Arabidopsis thaliana: one gene and its partners. The protein of the gene in region 1 interacts with the protein of each later gene in a pairwise test. Each region holds a gene or a part of one and is shown on either strand. Other genes may lie near its edges. The genes, in order: AT1G69170, MYB117, AT1G51580 and AT5G59990.

What was found.
Region 2: the proteins of AT1G69170 (region 1) and MYB117 interact in a two-hybrid assay, tested with the Arabidopsis thaliana proteins (one large-scale study listed by BioGRID).
Region 3: the proteins of AT1G69170 (region 1) and AT1G51580 interact in a two-hybrid assay, tested with the Arabidopsis thaliana proteins (one large-scale study listed by BioGRID).
Region 4: the proteins of AT1G69170 (region 1) and AT5G59990 interact in a two-hybrid assay, tested with the Arabidopsis thaliana proteins (one large-scale study listed by BioGRID).

The regions. Positions count from the first base shown.
Region 1 is NC_003070.9:26,001,423-26,009,347, reverse strand, and holds AT1G69170 (Squamosa promoter-binding protein-like (SBP domain) transcription factor family protein), read right to left. Parts: upstream 4,281-7,925; 5' UTR 4,068-4,280; intron 3,899-4,067; 5' UTR 3,723-3,898; coding exon 3,214-3,722; intron 3,111-3,213; coding exon 2,974-3,110; intron 2,879-2,973; coding exon 2,307-2,878; 3' UTR 1,980-2,306; downstream 1-1,979. Other genes in the region: CRC (Plant-specific transcription factor YABBY family protein), read left to right, coding at 408-509, 688-807, 901-1,009, 1,110-1,158, 1,274-1,349, 1,446-1,508, 1,588-1,614. UniProt on the Arabidopsis thaliana protein: Trans-acting factor that binds specifically to the consensus nucleotide sequence 5'-TNCGTACAA-3'.
Region 2 is NC_003070.9:9,267,233-9,274,650, forward strand, and holds MYB117 (myb domain protein 117), read left to right. Parts: upstream 1-3,719; 5' UTR 3,720-3,800; coding exon 3,801-4,197; intron 4,198-4,450; coding exon 4,451-4,885; coding exon of another isoform or gene 4,886-4,896; intron 4,897-4,983; coding exon 4,984-5,231; 3' UTR 5,232-5,481; downstream 5,482-7,418. Other genes in the region: AT1G26790 (Dof-type zinc finger DNA-binding family protein), read right to left, coding at 6,625-7,418. UniProt on the Arabidopsis thaliana protein: Probable transcription factor that involved in boundary specification, meristem initiation and maintenance, and organ patterning.
Region 3 is NC_003070.9:19,121,945-19,130,533, forward strand, and holds AT1G51580 (RNA-binding KH domain-containing protein), read left to right. Parts: upstream 1-3,638; 5' UTR 3,639-3,667; coding exon 3,668-4,270; intron 4,271-4,351; coding exon 4,352-4,735; intron 4,736-4,811; coding exon 4,812-5,063; intron 5,064-5,151; coding exon 5,152-5,365; intron 5,366-5,456; coding exon 5,457-5,542; intron 5,543-5,626; coding exon 5,627-5,709; intron 5,710-5,834; coding exon 5,835-5,940; intron 5,941-6,020; coding exon 6,021-6,158; 3' UTR 6,159-6,217; downstream 6,218-8,589. Other genes in the region: AT1G51570 (Calcium-dependent lipid-binding (CaLB domain) plant phosphoribosyltransferase family protein), read right to left, coding at 414-2,744; MNS1 (alpha-mannosidase 1), read right to left, coding at 6,371-6,589, 6,694-6,864, 6,945-7,025, 7,104-7,202, 7,274-7,382, 7,477-7,542, 7,636-7,760, 7,903-7,992 and 1 more.
Region 4 is NC_003076.8:24,148,695-24,156,750, reverse strand, and holds AT5G59990 (CCT motif family protein), read left to right. Parts: upstream 1-3,549; 5' UTR 3,550-3,666; coding exon 3,667-4,059; intron 4,060-4,318; coding exon 4,319-4,477; coding exon of another isoform or gene 4,478-4,489; exon of another isoform or gene 4,490-4,900; intron 4,901-5,371; coding exon 5,372-5,545; 3' UTR 5,546-5,817; downstream 5,818-8,056. Other genes in the region: GAF1 (Polymerase/histidinol phosphatase-like protein), read right to left, coding at 6,968-7,077, 7,173-8,056.

The DNA of each region.
Region 1 (7,925 bases):
AGCAAGTAAATATCCAACGAAAACACATAATGTCTTTAACAAAAAAAAAGAACGAAAAAAAAAAGAAAACACATAATGTCACCATTAGAAACTCGTGTCTACACCAGAAGTCATTAGTTTAAGATATTCATTTTTTTTTTTTTTGATAAGATGATATTAAATGTTGTTAAAATAAACAATAAAAATGCAATTATGGACTGCATATACACGTCCAACACTTTGACAATCTGTATCGCTCTCTCTCTCTCTCTATATATATATATGTCATGGTCTCACTATGATTGTTCTATAAATACAAGCCTCCTAACTCATAAAATAAGCATAACCCTAACTCTACAAAGTTCTTCTGATTCTTTCTCTCTCTCTCTTTCTTTCAAGAGCGGTTTTCAATCCATTCGCTAAAGACCATGAACCTAGAAGAGAAACCAACCATGACGGCTTCAAGGGCTTCCCCTCAAGCCGAACATCTCTACTACGTCCGGTGTAGCATCTGCAACACCATCCTCGCGGTAAATTATTACCTACATATAAGAAGATATATAAGCATATATATACTTGCATGACCCTATATATGTTGATAATATCACATACATGCTAAGCTATACATATTGTTGTTTATGTTATATATATATATATTTCTTCAAATTTTCGAGCTAATTTGTAAACCGAATCTACACACATATATAGGTTGGGATACCATTGAAGAGAATGCTTGACACGGTAACGGTGAAATGCGGCCATTGTGGTAACCTCTCGTTTCTCACCACAACTCCTCCTCTTCAAGGCCATGTTAGCCTCACCCTTCAGGTATATAACACTTGTGTTATAGTTATACATACGAGTATAATTCTTTTTATACAAAAAACTGATACTAAGCCAATCTTTGTTTTAACTAAGCAGATGCAGAGCTTTGGTGGAAGTGACTATAAGAAGGGAAGCTCTTCTTCTTCCTCTTCCTCCACCTCCAGCGACCAGCCCCCATCTCCCTCACCTCCCTTTGTCGTCAAACGTAATTAAGCTTATTACCATTTCTGACTCCTTTTTCTTCTATAAACTTAATCACTATCTACATATATATGATTATCTGTTGAACATCTTTGGTATTGTAGCTCCTGAGAAGAAGCAGAGGCTCCCATCTGCATACAACCGCTTCATGAGGTTTAACCTTTGACATATACTCTTTAGTTCCAAGTTAATTATGAAATTTAATGCATAAAAAATAAATATAATTTAGTACTCTTCTTCATCTTTTTTTGAAACAAAATATAAAAAGGGATGAGATCCAACGCATCAAAAGTGCCAATCCGGAAATACCACACCGTGAAGCTTTCAGTGCTGCTGCCAAAAATGTAAGACAAGTCTCTTTTTGTTACCAACCATTGTTGTCACCTTTAATATTATTTTTTCACAATTTCGTTTGTGTAAATGAAAAATGTCACAAACAGTGGGCTAAGTACATACCCAACTCTCCTACTTCCATTACTTCCGGAGGCCACAACATGATCCATGTAAGCTATACAAACTAAGTCTGCATAAGGACATATTTATATACATTATATAAAGATTTAAAATGTTTTGTTCAATTAGGGCTTGGGATTCGGTGAGAAGAAGTGAACAAAACTCAGGGGAAAAGAAGCCTAAAAATAACAAACGCATGCACGTGTGCGAGTGGCTGCGTCGTTTTTCTCATCTTGTGTTGTTCTTCTGTGTAATTTTCTTATGTATGTCATGTTGCAGAAAATGATGTTGCCTTAGTTTTTATGACTTTATATTTCTGTCTGTCTTTAGATTTGAAAGTAACGTCACTTGCTATGTCCCTTTGGACGTTTATGTCTGGTCTTTATTTGTCTTAATCCTATCAAAATTTTATATGCGTATTCCTTAATTCCATCTGGGACACTTTTTCTTTTCCCCAATGATTTGCAACTTTCAACATCGTAACTTCGAACTCGAGAATCTCAGATCAGTCCTCAGATGACGTGAGTGTACAGAACAAAACAAAACAAAAGTAAAAATTCACTTTTTCAGCGAATATTCATTACATGTATATATACAAATTGTCTGTAACGCTGTGAAAAGGAAGTAGGCATAGATATCTGAAGCAATTTTCTTCAGAACATTATTGACTGGTGAATAATAACACAACAGTTACAAATTACAATAATACGTGTAACATGATCTGATCCTCTTAATTCCTCTATCTAATCACAAACTAATCAAGCCATGCAGGCTTGTCTTGTCCTTCTGCAGAACAATCTCAAGAAACTCGAACCGGTTTAAAGGAATAAGAATGTTGTAACCTTTTATTAGGAGCCAGGGAAATAAAGCTCATTATATTCCTGCTTCACATCACCAGTGTAATTCCTCTGTTGCTCGATTCTTTGAAGATGTGATGACAGTTGCAGTAGATCAACCGTGGATGTTCCTTTTCCTTTACAAGAACTAGAACCAGCAGAATTGGTCTTGCCAGGATCGATCCACAACGGTTGTTCCATCTGATGATAGTCAGTTGATGATGAGTGATTGAGATTTTGGTTGGGTTGGGTGATTGAGAACGTTGTGTTTGGAAACTTAGACAAGTGTTGTTGGGACTGAGCTGACAGAAGAGAGAGAGCACGAGTAGAGCGTGATGCCGCCGTCTCATGTAAGTCCCAAATGGAGGATACTTCCGTGGAATAAATTGCTGGTTTAGATTCATAAGTTCTGCTGCTGTTTTGCTCATTAGTAGGAAACATGGAACAAGTAGGTTCATCTTTGAAACTCACGAGTCTACTTGTACGGTGGTCGTCTTCATCTATTACTCTGTATAAGAGACTACCAGGAAATGACTCTGGCAATACCAATGATGAATTCTCCAGAAACTTGTTGCCTACTACATCTATGGAAGATCATAAAATACAGAATAGATTCAAATTTGCACGAGTTTGCTAATTCAATACATCAATGGATAGGGAAAAGGCAGAGAGTGAGTACCTTGAGAGGTGCGAAGAAGCTTATGGCGCTTACCCGGTAGGAAATAGAATGCAGGTTTCCTTCTTCGTTCATTGTGACCGGCTAATCGCCTTCTGCAACTTCTTTTGCCATCATCAAACTCTGAGAGGAAATGAAACCTGAACAGAAGAAAAAGGTAAAAGAAACAAACGATCAAGATCCATCAAGAACATTGAAATGACTACAGAGCATGAGACAACTTGAGAGGAGAAAGAATAAAACCTGCTGCACTGTTGACAAAACCTCTGTTCAAGACCATTAACTATGACCACAGAAGTTTTCGAATGAGCCTCGCAAACTCTATGCCTTTTGTGGTAATCTTTCGAAGAGCTCAGATCCTTACTACACCCATAAACTTGACACAAGGGATTCTGAGAGCACAAGTTTGAAGCTCGAGACTTTTTAGATGGCAGAGCAAAACCTCTAGAGGATGTATCATCATCATCATTTCCTAAATCCAAAAAGCTCCTAAGTTTGAAATCTATCCTATTCAATTCCTGACTAGAGAACTTTGAAGAAGAAGATATGTTCTCCTCATCTTCCTCTTCAGGAACAACTTTAGTAATAGAAACAGCACTGAATCCATTGGAGTTACCAGCCATGTCAGAAATCAACACATCATCATTATTAGAGAGTCTCTGTTCAAATCTTCTATTCTTAGCAAAAGTATCACAAGGTAAAAGAGTTTCATTTGACATGAAAACGCTTCTCCCGTAGCTCCAAGAATCCATCAGCAACACTATAATCAATTTCTGCTTTCTTCAACGACAACTAGCAATTCAATAACTGATGCAGAAACCCTAAAGGAGGAAGCTTTCTTCTAAATAGAGAAAACCCAAGACGACGATTCACTTATTCCTTCGATTAACACAAAACCCAGATAGAAATTGACGAAAAGATTCAAACCCTAACAAGAAACAAAGATAAAAATCAATACTTTATCAAGAAAGCAATCACACAACATGATCATCAGTGGAACAAATAAATTAAGACGAAATTTTCGAGTTTCTTATCTTCCATCTAATGCAATTGAGGTGAACGAAATCATAAACAGAGGATCGAAGAATAAGACTTACCGATTAGAGGAACAGAGAAGAACTGTGTATAGGAAGCAAGCAAAAGAGACAGAGAGGTGGAGAAAATATAAGAAAAGTGAAAAATGGGGAATCGAAGGAATAAGGTGAGAGGTGACGTCGAAGCAGATACTGTTTGGGGTCAACATGATTTCCACTAAACCCATCTTCTTCTCCACTTCTCTCTCTCTTTTGCTTCTTTTTTTTTTTTCTTTTTCTATTCTTCATCCTGTAAATTTTATTTGTGTTTGTTTTCCGACACTATTTTGTTCGATCAAGTAAAAGTAAAAAAACAAAAAAAAAAAGTAGAAGTAAAAAAGTTTCTATAGAAATCGAATTTAAGAATGGAGAAGTTGACGTCATGCCTCCTATTTTTTACCATCAAAATTAGTGATAAAACTAATTTTAGGTTTATTTAGTTTAGTGTTATTGCTATGTTAAAACTAACCTAATAAACTTTGTACACATTTTTTTTTTTGATGATGCTTTCGGAACAGCACCTAAACAAAATCTTGGTTGAGTCACAAATAACATACAAATAATACGGTGGCAATGTGGCATGTATTCACACTGTAGACGAACAGCCAAAATTATGTGTTCACACTATCTCGAACAAATGTTAAATGATGATATAAATATGTTGACGACAATCAAAACCAATGAAGAATTTAGAATTCACAATGAACATCGTCCAAAGCGAAAGTTTATAATTTTGGGTTATATTCTAGATTATATTCTAACAAACACGTTTTGGTTAATTATTTTGTTTGTTGGCGGCTTTGAAATGGTAAAGATTAAGAAAAAAAAGAAATACACAACATGGGGAAGCGTATTTTATATAGCAATTTGAAAACATTTGTTTAAGGGCTTAATCTTCTTAAATAAATCGGTTTCAATAAGAATATATATCCAAATTAAAGCATAAGTTAGAAGAAGAATGTATGGGGGGGTTTCCTCAAAAGAAAAAGAAACTTTGGGGTTGCAAAAAGAATAAATAAAATATTAGAGAATCAGCGAGTTGAAGAGATTGGTGGTGGAGCGTGTGTAGACAAAGCCTTCTGACGCTACCCAAACCTTTTGCTTTATTACAAAATCAACCCTTTTCTTTTTTCTTTTTGGTGGGAGCCAGAGCATATCTTGTTGGCCAACCAACCGCACTTTTCAGGTGATGGAATCTAAAGCTAAGTCCTAATTACTTAACACTTGTTTGCTATTAATACTTCTTCTGTAAAATTATAACTTTTTAAGTTTATATAGTTAGATCGGTTCTCATATATTACTATGTAGAAGTTGTAAGTATATTCGATCGTACATTATGTGTGTATCTGAATCTGATCATAGACTTAAAAGTTAAAAAATTAAAACAAACGGATATGTGAAAAAGAGTTGTTTGTTGGTTCCAATTTTGCAAAGCCAGGTCCATCAATTTACGTAGCATAGCAAAGACGTATTTCAAGCCCATTAATTACGGCCCAGCGGGGTCTCTTCCATTTTCACGAAAACTCTCAAAAGATTTCAAACATACTATTCCATGAATCATGATGTAACAGTTACTGTGCAGAGTGCAGACAATGGAGTGTGCACCAAAAAGATTGGCCATGATTTCTATCATTGTATTTGAGAACGATAGAAAGTTCAGGTTCTAACTTTACATTTTAGATCGAAGACCAGAGTTTGTTTTTTATTCAAATTAGACATAAGAAAAGGAAAAAAACTGAACCAAATATTTTGTGATCCAAACAAAATTTCCTTTAACCACATGGAATTTTCTTTAACCACATGACTAATAATACCGAAACGCAATTGAATTTAGTATAATCGGTCCAAATCGAATAATAAATAAAAATTTGTTGAAATTACATGTGTGACAACATATATGACGTTAGTTATTATCTCACCTAACAAAACTCCAAACATACTATTTTAAGTGTCTTTATTTGTAAGATTAATTTTACTTTGCATAATTACCTCAACTTTATGATAATCACATGTTTGGACCCTCCACCCATTAGATGATAGGAGAAAGCAATGTATTACTTATTCATTTCATTATTTTTTTTAACTCATTCGTTTTATATACTCGACTTTAGTCTATATTGGTGACATGTATCATTGTTTCTACCGTCATGAGTATTTTTCTTTTGTTTCCTTCTTTTTGTTGCCACTGCGCATGAATTCATTGTAGGATACATTTATCTGCTTTGTTCGGTTTATTTAGTAAACCTTTTGTTCTTACAAAAAATTCTTTATCCGATTGAAATATTAAAAGTAAAAAGCATATGTCGCTACATATGTCTTTGACAAAAAAAACCAAAAAAAAACATCTCCCTACATACATATACATAATTACAGTGTTTCTGAGATGAATACAACAAGATATATAATTTTTTTAACCAAGCTAGTGTGTGATTGAAGTAGAATTAATTATCTTTTGTTGGCATGAGACAAAAGACTAATTTTCATTAAATGTATTTCGTATCACTATTTAGTTTTTTTTTTCTTAAGTCAAATTTTCAATTTCAACAGATCTTTGACAGTAAACAGACACAAATTTAAATGAGGTTTAAGTTACAATCAAAAAAGGTTTTTAGTCGGATATTAATCTAACGTACGACCAATACATTTATAATTATCCTTAGAAAGGCTATATATATAGTGGTGTTATTCAAAAAATAAAAACGCTATATATCTATAGTACTCCTTATGCCTTATGCATGCATTAATAAATAAAACTCTAAAAGCAAGCGCAATCTATGCATGAAAAGAGCTTTTGGATATCCTTTTGTCCTTGATTAATTTGTTAATACAATTATCTAAAGCATGCAATTCAGAATACTTTTAAGGATAAATCAATCTTCAACCAAAACACTAATTATACTTTGTCAATTTCTATCGAAGCTCTATGATACAACTCGTGACAGGACAACAAAAAAAGTCTAGCGATACTAGATTAAGTTATTGGTTGCTAGTTCTTATAATAATATATTGATGTTTAGGAATGATCATGCAAGTAGATTCTTTAACAGTAAGGTTCGAAACAACTTAAGTTTGGACCTGCTAAAAAATGACCTCCTTATTTTCGGATTATCATGCGTTCTCATATGTTTTAGATTATTTGTTTGCTTAATAATTCTATTTCTCTAATTAATTCTTATTAATTATAGTTCTCTAGTTAGTTCGGCGACTACTATTGGACTCAAAATACTAGATCTCAAGATTTCGTTTTTGTGTGTGTAGATCTTTCTACTTGAAGATTGGAACATCTAATATTATTTATTAAGCTAATATGAAAAAATGCAAGTGGAGATCGTTGTTGGTCCCCAATTTGTGTCTGTTTGTCTTTTTCTGATCATGTTATAGATACAAAATTTAATTTGAGAACTAGTGGCGCCATAAGTTGCATGCAAGACTCGTAAGCGACGACAAAAAAAAAATGGACTTATAACTAACCAACAAATGTAAGAAAAAAACAAGTAGCCAAAACTTAACCGGCCGGCCAAACTTTATTATTTGGTCGTCCCATATATAATTATCTGGTTCCCATTCTTTAATTATGTTTGCTTTATCCCAATGACTATCAAACGCAAATGACTATCACCATATATAACATCACTTAGTTTTTCCTGTCGGCAAATGTTGCTCATCAATAATATGTAAGTGACGAAGTTCTTGAACGAAATTCTCCAATTTCTTACTGCACGTAATTTGATAATTAATATACCAACAATAATGTACAAATTTTATTTTACAAGGAATACACGTAAAGAGATGGAAACAAAAAAAACCATGTGATAGACAAAAAAAACTATGTGTTCCTCTAATCTAACCTCAAATAATCTCATACAAAAAAAAATATCATTA
Region 2 (7,418 bases), about 17 Mb from region 1:
TTGGAAACTCCAAAAACAGTATGAGTTTGTGTGTGTCTTCGTGATCTGTTCCCACCATTTATCCTCTCTGTCTCTCCACTTCCTTTCATTACTCTCACTTTCTTTCACTTTCTTGTTCACTTCTGTTTCCTCACTAGTTTCTCCTCTTTTTAATCACCAAATCGGCACCTTGTTGCATTAATTACTACAAAAATATATTTACACTCAAACCAAATCAGACCTAATTGAATCTGAACTGATTATTGGTTAAACACTTTGAATTTTCGCAAAAGCATGTGTAGAACAAAATTAATACTTCTTATTTTCAGTTATTTTATAAAAACATTAGTTATCTTAATAGTTGAAAAATCTCGTTGATAGGACGATTAATTTTTTATTTGATTTGCATAAAGTAATTGATCTTTGTTGTTCACAAAATAACGTGATTGATTAGCATTTGAAATTATTTGATTAATTGACAAGTTAATATTTATAATTAAACTCATGGGTGAAACGAAATGCATATCTATAGCTAATTTATTTATAGCTAGCGTCTTAAAAATCCATTGAATGACATATATATTTTGGTGATGTAATCCTAATATTTATAACATTGTACACGTAACCTTCTAGTTTTATATTAGTCTAAATACTTTACGAACTCAACATAGGCAAAATCCAAACTAGTTCGATTTTGTTTTGTTCTATAGTTTTCTCTTTTCTAAGCAAGTATATTCCCTAAGTGTTCGTGATTGTTCGATAGATTTATTGTGATCGTGCGTGGGTGTAGTACGATAAGGAGAATACACGTGATGGTTGTGCGACATCACACGCCAAAATCGGACCATGGGGACGCATCACAGTTGAAGAGAAAAGACTTCTCCTTTGAATTGAATTGGATCCTATGTTACTCTAAATGTGCACGTGTTCATCATCTCCACCTCTCATTATCATTACCAATCCTTATTCTTGATTTAAAACGGATTTTAATTTTCAAAGAACTCAATGTTTACTTGCATTGACTACTAATTATTGAGGACATCTAAAATATCTAAGAAAAAAAACTCTTGTTAATCAATAAAAAAAGATCCCATATGTAAGTAATTTTATTTCTTTGCTTTTTTATTCTTAGTCTAAGATCACTAATCACATAACATATTACATATAGATGGATGCCACGTCAGAAAAGAGTCTATTTGAAAGCGAACTTTTCTTTCGAGTAAAACACAAACCTGACCAAACGTGTAACAAAATTAAACATTATCGTACAAGGGGACATTGTAACACATGAATAACTAAGGTTGATAAAATTTGTAGACGGACATAAAGAATTCCAAGAAAAGTGAATTAGGTGAAATTTAAATGGGCTATGGGGTCAAAGAATGGTCGAGAAAATAAAAATTAGATTATGTCAGACGAGTAAAATTGAGCTTTGGATTAATTCCAACGTTTTAGTGATTCCTTATTACACATTTGATGTATTTTTGTGACAAACTGACAAAAGTATATATTAATGCTATGTTGAAAAAGGTATGTTCAAGCTTGTAATCAATTTTGGACTGAGTCACGCATGGACCGTAGCTAATATATCCACCGAAACGGATTGACCATGAGATCGCAATCTATTTTATACCTCAGATAATTTTTGTCCCCTCACTATATGAGCTTTACATACATCTGTTTCCAGAGTAATTTAGTTGCTTATTCTGTTAGTCACTCCCTAAAACAAGCTACTACACTCGATCAAGCAGTAACATCAAACTCCTTTAATCTTCCAAGTTAGACTCTCTTCTTACTTTTCAAGGTATGTTTAAATATTTAACATGTTTATAAATAATTCCATGTGTAAATAGAACATATGTTTTTAATAACTTAGTATTTTAGACGAAAGAATCGAAAATCTAGTACTAGTCTACTGGATATAAACAAAGTAACAAGATAGATTCATAGCCCAAAACAAAAGAACAACCAAATCGAAGTCCCACTTTAGCTAGTGGCTCTACTTACAAACAAACATAATTAATAGTGTGTTTCACCATATTTTATTTCATCATTTCATTTTAAACGGTAAAAAAAAACTGATTACAATTTTTATAAATGTTTGTTCTGCAAAATATAAAATTAAATAAAGCTGCATAACTTTCTGTTTCATAAAATTATATAGTTCATATATACTTCTTCACCCAACCTTTTATTTCATATTTCATATATAATATTAATGTGTATTTCAAAGTGATTGACCAATTAAAAAGAAAATATGACGAAGAGAAAGAGAGTTTGTAGTGCGTTCGGTTAAATCTCTGTGCAGAGGATCGTACAGTTCTGAGACCCCTTTTGTATCTGTATTTATCCCATATTTAATGGTTACGTCTGCCAATTGGGATTTCTGGTCAAATACGAAAAGGTCTTAAAAGTTATTTCTTTACATTTTTACTGTTCATTCTCATTACTTATACACACTTCCACACGGCCACATTCCTCATGTATGTGGGATATTTAGGGTTGAGAGTTTTTTTGAATTGGCATTGTAATATCTCGTTATTAAAAACCATGAGACTGCTACAAAGAATAAAACAGTCAAAATTTCAAGATTATTTGATACAACATGACAAGGAGAAAATGAGTATATTGAAGCGATGTTTAATTAAGAAAAAAATTGAATGAAGAAAAAAGATTGTGGTTAATTTTTTAAGATAAGAGAGGGTTTCACAGAAACAAAAATGGTAGTAAAAAGTAAAGGAATGAAAGACAAGTGGAGATTAAGAGAGAAAGAGGTAAATTTTAAGGAACCCAAAATGAAATGAAAGAAAAAGCTGTCTGAGAATTGGTTGTGCTAAGAAGAGACCCGACTCATTCCCCAATGGTAAACTCTCTTTTTGCCTTCATCCTTTTTTGGTAGTTAGTTCTGCTTCAGCTTTTTTTCTTTCATCTCATTAGCTTTTATTATTTTCACCTTGCACCTATAAAACATGCATTGATTAATAGAGGATAAATTTCACCTAATAACGGTAAGATTCATTTCGGACTCGTCCAAGATATTCTCTACATTCATTGTTTTTTAGGTCGACACTCCCAACATTAATTTATTTTGTCATAATCCATTGGTTTTCATTAAATAAAAGAGGAAATACTATCTTATACATCAAACTAAGATAAACATTAATTATTCATAAAAGTAGGAAATTTGTATAAGGAACCATAGAGAAGCAGCGTAATTAATGTTATCGTTTGATTATGAACCCTAATACGACTATAAAACTATTGCATACTTTTCAATTACTATCAATCTATGGACATGGAAAAAAACTTGGTCTTCAAATCTTAGTTACTTTTAAATTTAATAAATGATTTATCAGAAAAACTCTTTAACTTCTATGAAACTAGGTACACCTGAACAAATGTATAACAGTCCACAGCAAAATCGAATATCGATAATACACATTTGTACTTACTTATTACAGTAGTGTATATGTAATATATATAATAATGTATAAATGCAAAGAACTCTGTCGTTTGAATTAGTCCGTGACGACGGTCCATAACCCTTTTTAACAGTCGTCAGAAAACACGGTCGCGACATGTACATACACGCACATACCTAAAGCCATACGTAACAAACACACCATTATATACAAAAGATATTCTATTATTTTTAAAAAATAATATTTATGACACACATTTACGTACGTGTATATATAATATGCAAATGCACTCACATAAGTCTTTCTCCTCCGATGGTATATGTCTATAAGCTGACGTGACATCTCTCTTAATTCTCAATAACACTTCTCTTCTTCTTCCTTTCTCCCAACACTAACTCCATGTTTATAACGGAAAAACAAGTGTGGATGGATGAGATCGTCGCAAGAAGAGCTTCTTCTTCTTGGGACTTCCCTTTCAACGACATTAATATTCATCAGCATCATCATCGTCACTGCAACACAAGTCATGAGTTTGAAATCTTGAAGAGTCCTCTTGGAGATGTAGCGGTTCACGAAGAAGAGAGTAATAATAATAACCCTAATTTCAGTAACAGCGAGAGTGGTAAGAAGGAGACAACAGATAGTGGTCAGTCTTGGTCCTCGTCGTCTTCAAAACCATCGGTCTTGGGGAGAGGACATTGGAGACCAGCTGAAGATGTTAAACTCAAAGAGCTTGTCTCCATTTACGGCCCACAAAACTGGAACCTCATAGCTGAAAAGCTTCAAGGAAGATCTGGTAAGTTAAATCAAAACCTTATTTATTTTCTATTTCTTTTGACAGCAAGTTAAATCAAAACCTTATAGATCTTCAAAATTTCATCAAAACCAGTTTGTTTGATTCATCTGGATCTGTCAAGTTCTTAAGATCCGGTGATAAAATCAATTTTTGTTTTTATTAGTTTTCTTGGTCTTTAGCCTTCTATGTCCAATCTAAGTCCTAACGTAATTTTTTTTGAGTTTTATTAACTTAATCTTGATTGTTTTTAAAGGGAAGAGCTGTAGACTACGATGGTTTAACCAATTGGACCCGAGGATAAACCGAAGAGCTTTCACAGAAGAAGAAGAGGAGAGGCTGATGCAAGCACATAGGCTTTATGGTAACAAATGGGCAATGATTGCGAGGCTTTTCCCTGGTAGAACTGATAATTCAGTGAAGAACCATTGGCATGTTGTCATGGCTCGTAAGTATAGAGAACACTCTTCTGCTTACCGTAGGAGAAAGCTTATGAGTAATAATCCACTTAAACCTCACCTCACCAATAATCATCATCCTAACCCTAACCCTAATTACCACTCTTTTATCTCCACTAATCATTACTTCGCTCAGCCTTTCCCCGAGTTTAATTTGACTCATCACCTGGTTAATAATGCCCCTATCACGAGTGACCATAACCAGCTTGTGTTGCCTTTCCATTGCTTTCAAGGTAGCCTATAGCTCTTCCTCCTCTTTCAATAGTTTTTTCAATTGTCTTTTGCATATTTTGAACTCTTTTTTGGTTTTTGTTATATCTACAACGTTCAGGTTATGAGAACAATGAACCTCCGATGGTTGTGAGTATGTTTGGCAACCAAATGATGGTCGGCGATAACGTTGGTGCCACGTCAGACGCGTTATGCAATATTCCGCACATTGACCCTAGTAACCAAGAGAAACCGGAGCCAAATGATGCAATGCATTGGATCGGAATGGACGCGGTAGATGAGGAGGTGTTCGAAAAGGCTAAGCAGCAACCACATTTTTTCGATTTTCTTGGCTTGGGGACGGCGTGAATGTTGAACAAATTGGTGTTAATCAGATAACGACAGTGGTTAAATTTGGTTACAAAAAAAATAGCATTTAGCTTTAGTAGCTAGAAAACAAACAAACCAGATCCTAGCCTTTGTCCTTGCGTTTACGTTAATTACTAAACTGTAGATTGTTGTTGTTGGCACTTGGTTGTCTAGTGTAACATTTGATAAGTCATTGTTTTTAGTAGTACTCGTTCAGAAATATTTAACAAAGAGAGATTGGTTTTAAAAAGTTGATTCTTTTATGATGAAGTGACGTGAAATATTGCTAAAGACGTGTTGAGAATAACAACGAGAGAGAGAGAGAGAGAAGGGAAATTAAAAAGAGTGGAGTTTCTAGGAGTTGGAGAAAGAGACGAAGATGCGTAATTAAGAGAAGAGGAACTGCCAAAATTGAGGCAGAGATTGTGCAACAGAAAGGCCAAACATGAAACATGCTCACCAAATCTCACACACACATTGCATTTGTTTCTTCTCTTCAAACCGTTTTTCCAACTCTTCAAGCTTCTTACCTATGTATCTCTCTCATGTCACGCGGACCCACACATGCCCTTCTTTCTTGTAATTCTTTCCATGTTGTAGATATAAAAGAAAAATTTAAATTGAATTGTTCTTTTGTATAGTTTTGGTTGGGTTAAAAAAAAAGGAAAAAAATTAGTTTTGGTTTTGAATATGAGTTTTTAAAATAATATATAACGTGGATAAATGTATGGGTTTTTCGGATTTTGAAAGGTTGTTGTAGAGAAGATTTTTAATTTACCCATTGGGTCTGAAATTGCTTCAATAGGCCCAATCTATTTCGGAGATGTTCTCGAGTCTCTCTTTTTGGGAACAAACATCCGAGTGAAGTCAATATTAAGTGATTTTCGAAAAGATAAAAACTATTCTAAAACTAATTAACATTTTTCCACTCATTTTAGTAATTCTCCCAAAGTAAAGTGCTTAAAGAGAGGGGGAAAAAAGTGCTTAAAGTGTTTTCTTCTTATTGTTTCCCTTTATACGCAAATGAAGAGACTTATTTTATTTTCAAAGAAAGAGACTTTTATGTTTCTCCTTTAGCTTTTAGTTTGTACCAATCAGATGGATTCTGTACCAAGGACTCCAAGTTAAGATTCTCTACTTTTTCTCCTTTACATGAAAATTCACACATATGTTTTTTTTCCAATTAATTTATACACTAGTACTACAAAATACAAATAATGGAGTAAACAATATTTTCGAACCACATTTACCAAAAAAGACATTACACTTCAGCATTTCCATCTGTTTGGATAATCTACAAAATGGGGATTGTGGTATATAAATAAGATAGATATTAAAAGTTAATTCATCACACAAAAAAAGGTATCTACAAAGTTTCTTTTCTCCTTTAACGTTATATGCTCTCTCTGAAGTTCATAGATCTTGCCATGGCTGCAGGGTTTGCTTGCAGGTTAAGATACGTTTCAGGGACGAATCTGTTGTTGCTGCTCTTTGTTTCAGCTCCATTACTGAAAAAGCTGAATTCTTGTGTCTTCTCGCGGGTCATCGGTACTGGATACCACACATGGTTATTTGTAGCCATACTTGTTTCATTTTTGATGCTCTGAGATTCCAAAAGCAAGCTTGTTCTCTCAAAAGCATTTTTACTCTCTTTAACAGTTTCATGAGAAGTTTCGTCTCTTGTCCTTTTCCCAAGACATGTAGAAGTGTCGAGGGTAGACCAAACCGGTATCGCGCAGCCCCAGTAGACGGGCATGTGGTAGAAACTAGGGTTTGGAGGGTATTGGTAAGGCCAAGGAGGCGAAACAGGGGATGCTTGGGGAGGAAGTAACCCTTGGAAGTTGTTGGGTTCTTGTGAAACAGGTTCAGCGTTTATCTTCACTTCGTTTGATTGATGCTTAGGCCTCTCAGTTACCAAAGAGTCCGAAGACTCGAAGCTTAGAATCTTTGTTGAGGAGCTATTGTAATTGTCAGTATCCTCGGAAGTGATGTGCAGGTACTGGTCTGAAGAAACCCATCCCTTGTTCTTGCGACGGCCTGAGCCAACCGGGACGATCCTCATGGATCCACCAGCGGTCCAATACCTCTGGCATTTTCTACAGAAGTGACGTGGCTGGTTAACGTTGTAGTTGTTGTAGTAACAGAATTTGGTGTCTGCGCTGTTGCATCTCGGACATGGAAGAATCT
Region 3 (8,589 bases), 6.9 Mb from region 1:
AAAATTGTCTGAATGATTTTCAATAGGCTTGAACAATTGGTTTTTCGGTTTGGTTCGAGAAATTTAGCCACTACGTACACTAAACCGAAGTTAAGTTGGTTTGGTACGGTTTACTGAAATTTTGGTTACATTATAAAATATACTTTCCGCATTTATCTTCTTCCTCTTGGCATCTCCTCGACTTAAAGAGAGAGAGAGAGAGAGAGAGGCTAAACAGAAGAGAATCCAAAAACACAAACTTATCTTACTAGTTACCACTTTCCAAAGAAAGTTTTCAAAAGGACATAAACATAAATAATGTCAAACAGAAAAAAACATGATCATCCAACATCACAAAGAAGAGGTAAGGACTTCAAAACGATAACAAACTAGAACAGAGGAGTCTTTCTTGAAATGGAGAAATCTTAAGTAACTCAGAGCATGCAATCAGTTCTTGCTGGAAGCCTCCTGAAGAAGTTAAGTGGAACTGATGGGAGCTTGTACCTGAGCCTCGGGTGTCTAAGCACATACAAGCCAATGGCAAAAGCCACAACCTGGAAGGGAGTTATATATAAAATCACTGCAGCTATCAGACAGAACAAGACGAAGAGAGCAGTGGCACGCGGGTCACGCCAGCTTAGCAACGACTGAAATCTCTCTCCTTGAGTTGCAAGATCACCAACAACTGTTTGAATCCTACCAGCAATGCTTCTGAGTCGGTCATATCTCATCCTGACGATGTCTGATGGTCGGGAAGTAGGGAAAGTGTCAAACTCCTCGTCGAGCTCATCAGGGTGTGCTGAGTCAGCGTGTGAGAGACGTGTGTCCATGTGTGGAGGATGTCTCGGCCTCCAGCGATAGTACCAAACTCCAATCAAGAAGAGGTAGAGGAAAATGGTGGGCAAGATGAGCTCGGGGTAGATAACAAGGATAATGAAGAGAATGTGGATTAAAACCGTTGTTATCGGATTTTTCCATACGCAGATCTGTTCAAACCATTTCCCTACAGCGATTATCCCACTCAAGACTCCCATTATCCTGAAGAAATTCGCCTTGCTTCTACGCATACTCCACATGTGAGATCCCACATCAAGCATATACTCAACAACTTCTTTCCTCAAAGGCGGCTCTGCTCGTGTTAGCCTTGTCGACACAATCTGAGTTGCTTGATGCCTTAAGTTATCGAGCTGGCTAACCGTGAGGGGATGGAGGTAGTGCATCTTAGGTAAGAGAGGCATAGAATACATATACATCATGTTGAGCAATGAAGAGCAAGTAAACCTCACCGCTAAGTGAATCTCTCCCATTTTCTTGACTCCACTAGGATGTAGCACCAAAAGAGGATATGAATGTGTGTAGACTCGATCAGCCTCGAGAGTAGAGAGCCTTATCCTCACCTTTCCAATTCTTGAATCTTTTCCTCCTCCGTTGTTTTTGTCACCACCGTGTAGATGGCAGTTATCGAACACACCAACTGTAACTACAGTACACGGATCAAAAACCTCCCAAGTATATTGCTCGTTCCATCTTGGGGTAAAGCTGTCAATAATTGTCCGAGTTCTGATCCATTTCTGCCCATACTTTGCCACACAATACGCGTCCGTGGTTCCCCTACCACCTTCTTTAGCTTTCATGGGCATTAAACCGGTCGCATTTAAGACCCCTAGCTCAAGCACACCGATGTTAGGCTTCCACAGTTGCTTTGCAGTTGGTCTTAGGTCACTACTGTAATGTGTAGACTCATCAAGCACATGATACCCTCCTTCCAAACAAATCCTCATGTGGATCTTGCTGGCGAATTTGATCTCTTTCTTCTCTCCTCCTTCCATTATAACATGCTTCTCAAGGTTAAACCACCTGCTGTTCACCGGTCTATAGTCAAACCTTTTGTCCAAATACTGCAACGGAACCGCGCATCTCCCCAAGACTTCATCTTTATTCGGCGCAACTCTATCTTCCACACTTAGAATCAAAGGCTCTTCAAACGGCTCAGCTACAACAAACATCAAATCCTCATTCCACATCGGATTAATACTCCTGCTTTGTGACACTCTAGTCCTCAATGCCTGATTTCCCATTATCACTTTCACAAAGACTTCAGGATATCTCCCTTTATCGCTCGGTATCAAATCCTGAGCTTCAATGACATTAACCCTAAGATACCAAAGCTTAGGAGAGAGATAAACCTTAGATCTGATGTTAGCTAAAGCATCAGTTCCACTAACAGTTGCAGCATCAGAGTGCCAAGCTTCAGGAAAAGCTTCATCAGCTTGAGTACCAAACCAAACAGCTAACATAAGCTCTCCTTTAACTTTTTGGCCTTTCCCATCTTCTAATCTATACCATTGTGGAGCTAAAGGACTATCAGGAGGAACTCTCTTAGGTATCTCATTCAAATCAAACACAACACGACCAATCAAATCATCTTTAACTAAATCTTTATCCTTGACAGTAGCTTCAAGATAAGAAGCTTGTACCCTATCTTTAGAAAAGGCGAAAACTTGGTTCCACTCAGGATTAGATTTCTTCTCGAAATGTCTAGTGGTTCCTCTGTAGTTACCAAGCTTAACTTCAACGTAAGGGTCACAACTACCAGTTAAGTCTTTACCTGGTAATTCTTTAGCCTTTACGACACGAACATAGAGATACTGCATTTGCTCGACGAGGTCATATGTGGTTGTGAGCTTATCTCCGGTGACTTTGCCTCCACCGAGATGAGGTTTTGTCTCCTTTAAGGAGAAATCTTCAGGAGGTGGTCTCTGCATCTTTGAAACTAGTAAAGTTTGGATTTTTTCTTCTTTCAGAAACACTAGATCTATAAGTTAGATCTTCAAAACAAACAAACAACCCCAGAAAACGATTTACACCAGAAATCTCAGAATCTGCTTAACATTAAACCCCCAAAAAAAGAAAGAAGTAAAGAAGAATCCTTTCTTCTTCTTCCTCGTAAAATCAGAAGATAAGCATTGAGAGAGTTTTAGAAAGAGATAGAGAGAAAGGACTGTAGTGAGAGAAAAGTAAAACACATTGAAGTAGAGTGGTGAAGGTTTTCTTGTCTTCTTCTTCCTTTTGCTTTTTTTTTTTTTGCTCTTTTCGATTTTTGTTTTAAATTCAAAATGATTTTATGAGTTGGCAGAAAGAAAAAAAAAAAGGCCAATAAGTGAAAAACATTTTCTTCATAATCATGAAATTTGATTTGAAAAGGACTACACAATATAAATTTTTATTTCTTTCTCTCCTTTTTTAAGTACGAAAATATGAATAGAACTTTTATTTCAAATAATACTCAAAAGTCTCACATACTATGGCAATTCTCAAAAATACCTAAATTGAGTATTATTGTTCCACAAATACTGTCACTAGTTTTTTTCTCAAAACATACCACAAAACAAAAACTAGATTTTAAACTTTCAAAACTAAATCCTAAACCGTAAAAATAAACTCTAAATCCTAACAACAAATTCTAAACTCAAAAGTTTAAATTATAAACCTTGAAAAATTAATTTTGGTGTTTGTAATAAATTTGGAACAAAATTTTTGTTGTAGTATTTTCGAAAAAATAAACTCATTAAAATATTTTTGGAAAAGAGAAAAAACATAGTTTAGTGGTATTTTATAAAACAGATTTTAAAACATTTAAGAGCCTTTGAGTTAAACTCAAAACGACGTTGTTAAGCTTATTCGACTAATGGAGTTCTCTACCTCAAAACGTCCGGCGACGACAGCGACGGCGGCGGAGTCTGTACATTTCCGTCTTCTCTGTCCGGCAACAAGAACTGGTGCAATAATCGGAAAAGGCGGCTCAGTCATTCGACACCTCCAATCTGTAACCGGTTCAAAAATCCGCGTCATCGATGATATTCCCGTTCCTTCAGAAGAGCGTGTAGTGTTGATAATCGCACCTAGTGGAAAGAAGAAGGACGAATCGAATGTGTGTGATTCCGAAAACCCTGGCTCTGAAGAGCCTAAGCAAGAGAAAGGGAGCGAGTGTGCGGGGACTAGTGGTGGAGATGACGAGGAAGCGCCGTCGTCGGCGCAGATGGCTTTACTTAGGGTTTTCGAAAGAATAGTGTTTGGCGATGACGCTGCTACGGTTGATGGTGATGAATTGGATAAAGGTGAGAGTGAAGGTTTGTGTAGGATGATTGTTAGAGGTAATCAAGTAGATTACTTGATGAGTAAAGGAGGGAAGATGATTCAGAAGATTAGAGAAGATAGTGGAGCTATTGTTAGGATCTCATCTACTGATCAGATTCCTCCTTGTGCTTTCCCTGGAGATGTTGTGATTCAGGTATACACAGCTTCTTGTGTCTTTGTGGCTATTCAATTTATAGAGCTTTTTTGGCTGATTTAGTAATGTTTTTGTATGAAGATGAATGGAAAGTTTTCGAGTGTGAAGAAGGCGCTTTTGTTGGTTACAAACTGTCTTCAAGAAAGTGGTGCACCTCCAACATGGGACGAGTGTCCGTTTCCGCAGCCTGGTTATCCGCCTGAGTATCATTCTATGGAGTATCATCCTCAATGGGATCATCCTCCTCCTAATCCAATGCCTGAAGATGTTGGACCCTTTAATAGACCGGTTGTTGAAGAGGAGGTTGCGTTCAGGTTGTTATGCCCGGCTGATAAAGTTGGAAGCTTGATTGGGAAAGGTGGAGCTGTGGTGCGAGCTCTGCAAAACGAAAGCGGTGCGTCAATCAAGGTTTCGGATCCAACTCATGATTCAGAGGAGCGGATTATTGTGATATCGGCACGAGAGGTATGTTGATTTGCTCCATGGATTTGGTTTATGTATATCATTGGATACTTTGTCTCATTGGTTTACATTGTTGTAGAACTTGGAGAGAAGGCACTCTCTTGCCCAAGATGGTGTGATGCGTGTGCATAATAGAATTGTTGAGATTGGATTTGAACCTAGTGCTGCTGTTGTTGCCCGGCTTCTTGTACATTCTCCATATATCGGACGTCTATTGGGTAAAGGGGGTCATTTGATAAGTGAAATGAGGAGAGCAACTGGTGCTAGCATCCGCGTCTTTGCGAAAGATCAAGCTACAAAGTATGAATCACAACATGATGAGATTGTTCAGGTAAATTTTATATAACATCCGCGGCCTCGATAAGTTTTTCAACTCTGTAGTTTTCTTGTTATTTGACACCTTTTTGCTGGATTGGCAGGTCATTGGTAATTTGAAAACTGTTCAAGATGCTTTGTTCCAAATATTATGTAGGCTTCGGGAAGCAATGTTTCCTGGAAGACTTCCTTTTCAAGGAATGGGTGGTCCACCTCCGCCGTTCATGGGTCCGTATCCAGAACCGCCTCCCCCATTTGGACCGAGACAATATCCAGCTTCTCCAGATCGTTACCATTCTCCAGTAGGACCATTCCATGGTATTTCATCAATTTCCGACCCATGATCACCAGTTGATACATGCATCAATCTCAGTTTCTTAATAATGTCTACTTGTTACATATGATACAGAGAGGCATTGTCATGGTCCTGGATTTGATAGGCCACCTGGTCCTGGATTTGACAGGCCACCTTCCCCAATGTCTTGGACCCCGCAGGTATGTGAACTCAATGATCTTTATTCCTTCGTTAGCTGTCATGTCCTTTTATTTCTTTCTAATTCAACATTTCTCAATCGCCAGCCGGGAATCGATGGCCATCCCGGTGGTATGGTTCCTCCTGATGTGAACCATGGATTTGCTTTGAGAAATGAGCCCATTGGCAGGTATCACTTTCCCGGCGCTGTCTTTGTTCACTTTAAAACTAAATGACTTTGAAATGCCAGAAACTGTACGAAGGAATTTTATCCACTAATTTCACATTATTGCCTTTTGGTTATGGTGTTGGCAGCGAGAATCCAGTAATGACAAGTGCAAATGTGGAGATTGTGATTCCTCAAGCATACTTAGGTCATGTCTATGGTGAGAACTGCAGTAACCTGAATTACATCAAACAGGTATGTTGCCGATAATATATGAGCAGCTGGTCATTTTGAAAGGCTGCATCTGATTACCGTTTGTAAACCTAATCAACTAGGTATCAGGAGCGAATGTGGTTGTGCATGATCCAAAGGCAGGGACTACAGAAGGACTGGTGGTTGTCTCAGGCACATCGGATCAAGCTCACTTTGCTCAAAGCCTTCTTCATGCTTTTATTCTCTGTGGTCAATCTTGATTGCTCTCTTTTCAAAGTGTGTACAATTTTAACATGATAGTAAAAAAAAGCTCTTCTACAAATCCAAAAATCATAGGAAACAGTAAAGTACCTCTACAAATTGCTGTGGCAAAAACGTTGTCCATCTGTTCTTTAAACTGATACAACAATGTGCCTCAAACTTTGTGGTAATATATAATAATATCAAATTCCATTTGAGCAGAAACTGTCTACTAAACGTTAATCTGATGACCAAACTTCCTCTGGCGTAGTGCTATAGTTGGCTTACGCGGATCATTCCGTGCCACAATCTTAAGCGGATGGGCTTCTGTGTTGAAAACCCACTCGTCTAATGAAATAACAGATGAAGGCGAAAAGAGAAGATATAGATACTTAAGAGTCTCAGCTAAGAAGAAGCTTTGCATCTTGTTGTCTTTAGCACCTGTATTGACCTGAAAATGAAGAAGCAAACGTTAACAACGTGTTTCCGAAAGATGGAAAGGCCCACTCGAGGAGGGTATCTGATTGGTTAAGGTCAGCCCGGCTCGAAACTTACATCCTTCAAGCCTACATATCCAGATTCTACGCGAGAGTTCTTCTCAAATGCTTGAAATATATTCCATCCCCACTCTTGATATGTCTTGTTCCCAGTTAATCGCCAGAGGTAAAACAGTGATTCAACGGTTTCTGGTCTTAAAATGTTCCAAGATGTGCCAACACTCATGTCCTGAAACAATCATGTGCTTATGGATACGACATAACCAACCAACTAACATACAAACAGATGCGCAAAAAGTATTTACCAACCTGCCCTGCAGTGAAGAAATAGTTCTCTCCAGCAAGTTTCGTTGGTGTCGATTGGTAAAAGTTATAACAAGTCCAGGCAAGCTGCAGTAAAGTGAGGGAAACAGCAATAAGGACACAGCAGAAAGTTATACTCAACATACAATTGAGATTCTAAGGCACCTCTCCAGCAAGTGAAAGAAACTTTTTTTCTTCATCAGGGCCATAACCTGAAGCTCCTAAAGCCAACATTCCAGGAGCAAAGCACGCCAATTCATCCATCTGAATGTTGAAATTATGTCAAAACCAACAAAATTCTCAAAGTAGAGAGTTGAAATTAGAATAGTTTTTACCTTATCAATCAAATTATTTCCGTTCTTCTCACATATATACGTAAATGATGAAGGTGTTGATTTCTTGACCAAGCTTAACAAACCTTTCATTGATTTCTCCCACATATCTCTGATTCAATACATTAAGAAAGATTTAGTCCTTATCCTTTATTGCTGATATTGAATTACTTGGGTGTATATACACAGCGTCGAGCTTTACTTACCTATAGGGTTTCACGGCAGATGTTTTGTTCCCTTGCACCCAAACTTTGAGCAAATACTCATAAAAGCTGTAAAACCAAATTATTATTAAAAGTTAGAGAGCAAAGTCATGGTCACAAGACCCGACCAACACAAAATGAAAATTTGGAGGAAGAAACTACCTATCTCCCATGGCACCAAATGTTGTGGTAGAGTACGATGGATTAGCATTATCCGGATTTATATAGATGGGAAGTAAACCATCAGCAGGAAAGTTCTTATTCAGTTCTGTAATAACCTTCTCTACCTGAGAGACATGAGTTAGCAAACGTGTCAATCTTGAGCAGCCAATATTTTCTTCAGCATTAATGCAGATTGATTGCCCACTTTTTCACACCGAGTTAGGATATAAAGAAAATCTGTTGGACAAACTCAAAATTAGTATCTACCTTCTGCTGATATTTTGGGTCCCCTGTCCTTTGGGAAAGGGCAATAAACTCGAGCTGCTCAGTGCCGGAGTCTGCGAGAATACTGTCTCCCTAGTAAAACAAAAAAAAAGTGTAGCAATCAGTAAAACTGACACAGCACATGTCCTCAATGAAACTGAAACATATCTAAACCTGATCACACTTGGTACTCATTTCAAAGACACTGCATATGATTGCTAGTGAATATATAGTTAGTTAAGAAACTATAGCTACCATAAACTCTAAACGTAACACCTGTTTAAAAGTCTAGACCCCAAACAAGAATGTTAATTGTTGCATACAGAGAAACCATAACTTGGCTGTTTCTGCCGAGTCCAGATCTTAGTTTTTATACGGGGTTGAATCATCTAAGAAAGTGGTCAGAACTTGGATTTAAGCTATCAAATAGACTCTAAGGAGTCCTTTAGAAACATAATCAGGAACCTAAGTCAACTACAGAACAAGTGCACAGAGTTTCAGGAGCCATTTTTTCTAGAAACGAATAAAGATTTGTATCCAATCATTGGATTCCAAGGTTAGGCTTTAAAAAGATCTACATGACACAAGATGACACAATACAACATACACGGCACTCAGTAATCTAGGACTCACCCCTGCCGCCCATGAAGGATTGTGAGCATTTCCATTTCTCAAGTTGATAATATTGTA
Region 4 (8,056 bases), on another chromosome or scaffold:
TTAATCTGATGGGTTTTTTTTTGTAACGAATATGAATTCCAAGGCCAAAAACAGACGAAGTATCCAAAGTTTGAAAGTTTAATTTACGTGAATGGAGAATATGTGAAAATGGTGGAGAAACTATTGTGCTTGTTGACCTTTTTCTCTTGTCCAGAAGATTGGACAAACGCATAGAAACACATGCACGAGTCCTAATTAACAATTTAAAAAGAATAGAGAAAACAATAAAACAAAATGATGGGATCACTTAAAAACATCTAAATCACACCGTCTTTCTTTGATTTGTATGGAACATACTTTTCTTTCAACCAAGAACAAGTAACCCTACACATTTCATTTCTTTTGATCATAAACTCTTTGTGTACTCATTGCCTACATTTATGCTATTATCATTGCTTTCTATAGGCTTGGACTATATTATTTGCATATTGCCATTAATATATTGTAAAATCAAACATCTCGCATAATACCATGAAAAAGTTTTGTATGCATACTATACGTTGTTTATGTATGAATTCATGCTATAAAGTCAAAATGCAAATTCATATTTTCACCAAATGTAGTAGTAGTAGTAACGTTTTCACACGATTATATTAATTTCAGTTTTAAGTTCATTTTATAGTATTACTTATATTTATTTATATAATTTCATTAGTAATAGGAATAAATACTAAAATATATATCTCCCCTATTCTATCATCGTTTTCATGAACCGTTGACCTTCTTGAAACTACAACTAGGTATATAATTGTTGTGTGCAAATAACCAAAGTGGGTTACTGAGAGACTTGCGAAAGTATAAAACCAATAATTTGCTCCAGTGGTGGTAAGAAATGCAAAAACAAAAACACTATTTATTAAAAACAAAAAGAACAATTCTTATTGGATCGTTAAAACTCGAAACTAGTTATGAACCAACCATAGCATGAAACGTTTTGTTTTTGGTACATTATGCTACAAAGTTTACCACCAAATAGAAAAAGTCTTCGTTACCATCGATTGATCTATAGATTTTGCTTTTGCATGACCTTTCCCATCAACTTGTGGCTATTTTGCCCTTAAGGATACACAAAATGTCTTTCTAATTAGTCCCATAGTACATCTATCCACTGTTGGAATCGAGATCCTATGTCCTCGTAACGATTGCGAATTATTATTTATGTCTCTACATTATGTGGGGCAACTTTGTTTTAAGTTTTGAAATGTCTTCAACGTTCCCTAAAAAATGTTTGCAAAACACAGCTAGTATATTTAGAAATTACAATAAGAGTGGTGGATACGGAACAAACACAAATCGACATTAATGTTTGTACGTTGACGATAAAAAGAAGAGTAATCGATAAAAAAAAACTATAGATAATCCCAATAGATGATGGTTTAGTGTTGTTTGAAAATACTCTCTCAAAATGAGATTTACAGCTCTCTTCCTACTAATTGACCTGTTTAGAGGAGACTAATTTACATGCTCTAGTTTCCGGCGCATAAAAAATGAAAGTTTGTGTTAATCAAAGAAAAAAAATATAACTAATTTTTATTTCGTTGATTCTAATGGACCTACATTCCGATCCTCTTAAGTGAAAAAGATGCTTTCGTACCCCATAAATAAAATAAAATTATATATTTGGCTTAGAGAAGTGATATCGACGAGAAAAAATTCTTCAAATAAATTTATCGACGGACCCATATTGTATATATAGAATGTAATGGAGAAGAACAATCATTTCCCCTAATACAAGGGAAGATTGTATACACATTTCAGGAGGAAGACTATCTAAGTTAGTGCACTTTTGTTAATTTTGGTTCAAATTTAGGTTTTAGATGTAACAAATTTGATTTTTCATTTTTGGTTCGGTTTGTTACCATCATCCAAATGAAATATTTTGGATACATATAGATATATAATCATTTTAGTTTAAACTTGGATTGGACTGAATTAGATAAATATAATCAATATCATCTAGTAGTAATAATGTGATATGTGGGTTAATTTTTCTACTAAACAAACACCACGAGTTGGGTTGATATTATGTATCCTCATTATGGAGTGAGGCTTAAACAGGAAATTATAAGTTGTTTTGTTCTTAAATGAGTGATTATGTATTATGTATGATGATGATGATGAGTAGGCCAATTTAGTGACTGACTACAACGTGTTCCTACAATATATTGGTATATATGCAGTGATCCTACTATTCGAATTTCGTTCTTGGAATGTAACTAATCGTAAACAAAATATCTATAAAAAAAAACAATATTTATATACTTTACCGTAGGGGTAGCTATGTATAACTCGTTTGAGATATTCTCTCGATATGTTACCTAAATCGATTTGATTCCAAACAAAAAATTCTGGCTAATTAACCTGACTAATCATGGATTGGAACAGATATACAATTCATATACAGAGCAGTACTATCGTGTCTTGTCTGGTTAATTATCCGGACCGGACTAAACACCCGTTTAATGTGAACATAACCAAAGCAATCAAGTATCTGAGCTTAATTAATTATTACTGTTGATTAAGTTAATGATTAATTAGGCAAAAAAGTAGATTTGTATGCTGCTCACATGGGTTTGCGTGAAATAATGCTTTTAACCATCTTTTTGTCTCTCCTATACAATTCGAGCTAAAAAGCTAAGTCGTGTCCTTTATTTTATTTTATTTTTCTTTACATTGTTCTTTTGCTGTTATGATTTATGAATGTTGCACGAGATGTTATCTATCTACTATTTTAAAACACAATTGTATATTTTTTTTCGTCAAGGACTTGAAGTTAAAACACAATTGCTTACGAAAATATCAGTAAATTTACTGTTTCAAGAAATGATTATGCCTTCCATTTTACAACAATTATCGTTGTGAAATTCTTAATACATTAAAAAATGTTATAACGCCATTTAGTTTGAAACGTAAATGTGTTAAAGAGATTGAAAAAAAAGAAAGAGTTTACTAATTATAAAATTCAATATAATAACAATTTTTTTGAAATTCAATATAATTAGTATTTTTTTTTTTGAATACCAAGAGGTTTTGGACTGAAACCCGTAATCCCTCCGTACCCGAAACTACAGCATATAATATTACTTTTGTTCTAAACGTCATTCGAACTGGCGATCTCTAAGTTTCGTCTAGGGTTTTTACTAATTGAATTAACAACACTTGGTTATAATTAGTAATTATTTGTCACTAGCTTTCTTCCTCTGTATTTATAATTGATAGCATATTAATCAGTAACCTATATATAAGTAAGTATATTTGAATTTTTGTTTTTAGTAGTAGTTCTATTTTTAATGAAAACATTTTTAAACCTAAATGAAAAAATAATTATCATTTTTGTTCAACTATCCAAATTCACCTTCGTATAATACATGTCGGATTCAATTTCGTGTAATATATGTCGTTTGAAGAATAACGGGTGAGAGTGAGATAGAAGCGACCTGAAAACGAAAGGCAACTCTTTTTATACCTAAAGATTCCTTTTTTCCTAGTCAGTCAAAAGAAGTCAACGGTTAAGTCAGTTGACTTCAGATGACGATTAATGACGTCAGCATCAGTCCTTCCTCTGTTAAATAGAAACCAAACCACTTCGAGTTTCACTCACTCACACACACACACATAAACAAACACACAAAGACACATAAACACCACAATAAACTAAAACCCACCATGTGTGGACACGTCAGCACTTCTATAACCTCCGGCGACAACTGTCCATGTTTTCTATACTCCGACGACATAGTGGCTCCTCCTCAGCTGCTTGATCATCATCATCATCAGTTCCCGCCTCCGCCTTTGGCGCTTCTTATGATGAGCCAAAACTCTCTATACGCGGCCGAGGCGGTTTCAGGGTTCGGTTACTTTGATTCCGGCATGAACGGTGGTGGTGGAAGCAGCAGCTGCGACTCGCCAAGCTCTATGGGGAGTGGCGGAGAGAGTCTTGTTATGCAGAGGAGTGTTAGTAGCCATAATGGCTTTTCCGGTAATTACACAGCGGCCCATGATTTCGTTAACGATGATGATGGGCCAGTGAGACGGGCCCTTAGCGCCGGAGATCTACCCGTAAGTAATATTATATACACACTTGCAGTTTCGAGATTTCAAACGTTAACTTTTATGTTTTCGTTTACGTATGAAATTTTTCACATTTTATAAAACGAAACATTATATTGTTGGTTTGTTTTATGGTTTTGCAAGAGTGTAAAATGAAAACACCAAAACACAAATAAATTATCTAAACATACTAAAATTTGGGGTTTTATTTGAAAATAATAATAATTCTATCATAACATAAGACGACACTGTTTTGGTATGTGTGTAGAGGAGTAGCAGAAGAGAGAGCAGTACGGTGTGGAGTGAGAGCAATGCAATAATAGAAGGAATGAGCAAAGCCTACAAGTATAGTCCTGAGGAGAAGAAAGAAAAGATCGAGAAATATCGTAGCAAACGAAACCTTAGGAATTTCAACAAGAGGATTAAGGTAATTTTATAAATGTTTTACAGTTGTTTCTTTGTTCTAAACTGTTTGTTAGCATAAATTCTTATATCTTATTTTAACATATAAGAATTTATCATTTGATTCATATTGTTCTTCATCACATAGAGTCCATGTACACCTAACCTATATTATATATTCAACATGTGTATATATGTGTCGCATGGAAAACTTTTGAGGACTTGACATGTACAGTAGTTGTATGGAACAGTGACATGCACCTTCACATATATTGATGCAACCATTTTCTAATCAAGCATACAATTTCCTATAAATTTCTTCATTAATCAACTAATAATGATTTCTGTATAATTTCATACACAAGAGCATATATAAATGTCTATTTTCTTAAAATCAAATGTATAAGATATCTTTTCTTAGTAATACTGTTTTTTTTTCACATTTAATACAAAACTAAATGGTTCGTTGACCAAAAAAAAAAAAAAAAACAGGCTCAATGTATCATATCAATCACTCTTATCACTAAAAAGTAACATTGAATTTTTCTTTTCAATCTTATCTTCAAACATAAATAGAATTTCATCTGATATATATGAGTATGTGAACGAGAATTAATGTTCTGTCACATCATATTTGGGTCTAAGGAATCCTTTGAGATAGACACATCAAGCTCCAAGGTTGCTACAAGTTTTTTTCTCCATTAGTTTTTTCTTACAAGAAGGTCCACAAATATATTTCATTGCTAATTAAAGATCGGATTGGAGTATTCATGTACTAACATATTCAAACCGTATCTCAATGAGATATTTCTGCTCGCGTTATAATTTTTTGACCGACAAGTTTTGACTTGTGAATGATCTAAAAACTATCACAATACTTTGGGACAGGTTTAATAATAATCTTTTATCTTTCTATTAGTACGAATGCAGGAAGACATTAGCGGACAGTAGGCCAAGAATAAGAGGGAGATTTGCAAGAAATGATGAGATCTCACAACAAGAACAAGTTGATGTTATGGAAGCCGTGGTAGGAGATGTCGACACGTGGGCATCTTTTCTTGATTCTTTCTCTGCTAATCACTTCCTCAACTAATTTAATCTCTTCTATGTTTGTTTTTCTTATATATGTTTATATATGGCACTTTAATTTGTTTTGGTTTAAAAGATTTCCCCATGTTGCTAAACTCATGTGTAGGTTTTGTGTTATCTTTGTATATAAGAATAACATATCTTGTATTTTTGATCTGAGATATTTGCAAACTAATCCTTTTTCACTGGCCATACAATTCTGCATGAGTGGTATATGCCACTTTGTCAATTGACGATTGCAATTGTCTTAGCATGGCACTGAGTTCTATAAGTGAGATAAATGGGGTTTTAGATAGGTTAAAGGCAAAACAAAACGATATTCACCTATTGAGAACAAAGTGGATTTGAGATAAAACGTCGTCGCCGTATTAGATCCGTCATTTAAATTCGGTAGTCCATAAGTGAGTTGCAAACGATATACATAAAACAATTAAAAATATCGAACTCCAACTAAAACAAATTGATTACACATCGTTAATGTATATGGACCCTTAAATAGTTAATGTATAGTTTAGTATGTTCCTTAATGGTCTGATTTTTCTTTTACCAACTTGATTTACAAAAGTATTTAGAAAGTACAAAGATGATAACTTTTAGCATTGAAAAACATATAATGAACACATGGCCATGTTACTTTGATGATTTCATAATACTCTCACGTTGATTACACATCGTGCTAAGTACTAGCAATCTCCAAAGGTAAACATATATTATATACCTTAAGAATTCTTAAGATATCAAAGAAGCTTCCACTCAAATAAACTAACTTAAAGTAATCAACCCATACATTCATTCTCATAAGTCAGTATATAAAAAAAGCTAGAGGAAAACATACTAGCAATTATTTTTGCCAAAAAAAAAAGCTATGGAAAAGTTTCTCAGCACTTTTGATATTTTGCAAGAAAAAATGTTACTTTGATTGTAAGACTATATTATTTTCCAACAGTAACAAAAATCATTTATTTTTATTTAAAAGTGAAAATAATTTGAATGTTAGGCATCTTTAGTAATAAGAGAATAATTTTTCTCACAAGTAGGTAATTAGTAATAATGTGAAGAATAATGCTTCTCAATTAGATTATAAATAAAGTAGTTTTGAAAAAGGAAAGAGAGCAGTCTTTCTTCTTTAGCAATGGCTATGGAGGGAGATGTAGGCCCTCCGGCGACATTGTCCCCGACTTTTGTCGGCCGGCGGTAGATTTACCGACTCCTCCACTCTTAAATCTTTTTAACTTTTTTTTTTCCTTTTTAATATTTTAACTAAAAGCCTTTTTCTTGAACACGAGTACACAAAGAATCAACTCTAGAGAATAAATTAGATTCTTTCTTTCCCCCATTTTATAATCGGTTCAAAAATGAAACCACGAGACTTGCGTGGGTATAAATTAATGGACAAAACTTGTACTTATAAGAATGATCAAGCTCTTCAATGTTTTCTTTTTTTACTGATCCTTTTGAACCTTGATTGAAGTAGAAAAGGCTTGAAAGGCCTTAGTTGCGGTAAACGAACTCTACTCCTCTTAGCTTGCGTCTTACCTACATTATGGATTGATATAACATTAGACTGAAATCTATACTCCAAACTTATGTGTTAGGTTAGATTTGCAAATGAGGAAACTTAGATCTCGTACCTGATTTTGTGTCATTGTTATTTTCAGAGGATTGGACTTGGGCTTGGTGACTAGCTTCGGTTTCAGTCTTTTCAACCTTCTCGTCTTCAATTGTTAACTCTTCGACCTTATTGTCTTCCATTGTTATCTCAAAGGTGTTGTGGTTTGGAACTGATGCCTCTTCCTCGAGCTTTGTCTCATCGGACTCTAGTCTTGATGCTTCGTCATGGTCTTGCACAACCGCATCTGGACTGAGAGATTTACCTGATTCACTTAGCAAATCGGTAGTCTCAGAGGATAAGTTAGGAAGAATAATCTTACTGTCACCTGTTTCATGCATCTGGTCTTCCATTGTGACCTCCATGTACTCGTCGTGATTTGCTTCCGAAGAACAATCAATTTTCATCTCATCAGCAATGGATGTGAGGTGTTCAGGCTCAGGGATATGCTTCTCATCATCAATGGATGCGTGGTGTCCAGACTCAGTGATATGCATCTCATCATTACTAGCATGACCAGTAGTAGCTCTTTCTTTGCTGTTTTCGTCCACTGAGGCTTCTTCTTCAAAAGCAGCATTTCCCATGTTATTCACTTCAACAGGACTTTGTGGGATCCCATGATCGCTTTTTGACGGTGACATTGATCCACCTTCGGAAGTCGACTCAATATTCATGCTAACATCCGACGCTGCTTCTGACTTTGTACATCTTGTCAGTGTAAAGGGAGTAGCCGTCTGATTTTGCACCAAAATCCCCTGGCCATGGCTGGCACTGCATTTCCTTAGGGCAAATGCTTCTTCTTTGAGGACATTTGTAGTAGGTTCCACCTTATTGTCATCTTCAGACATCAGCATGTCAATTTGGCTTATGGTTTCAATTTCCCGAAGGTTATCATCAGATGAAGCT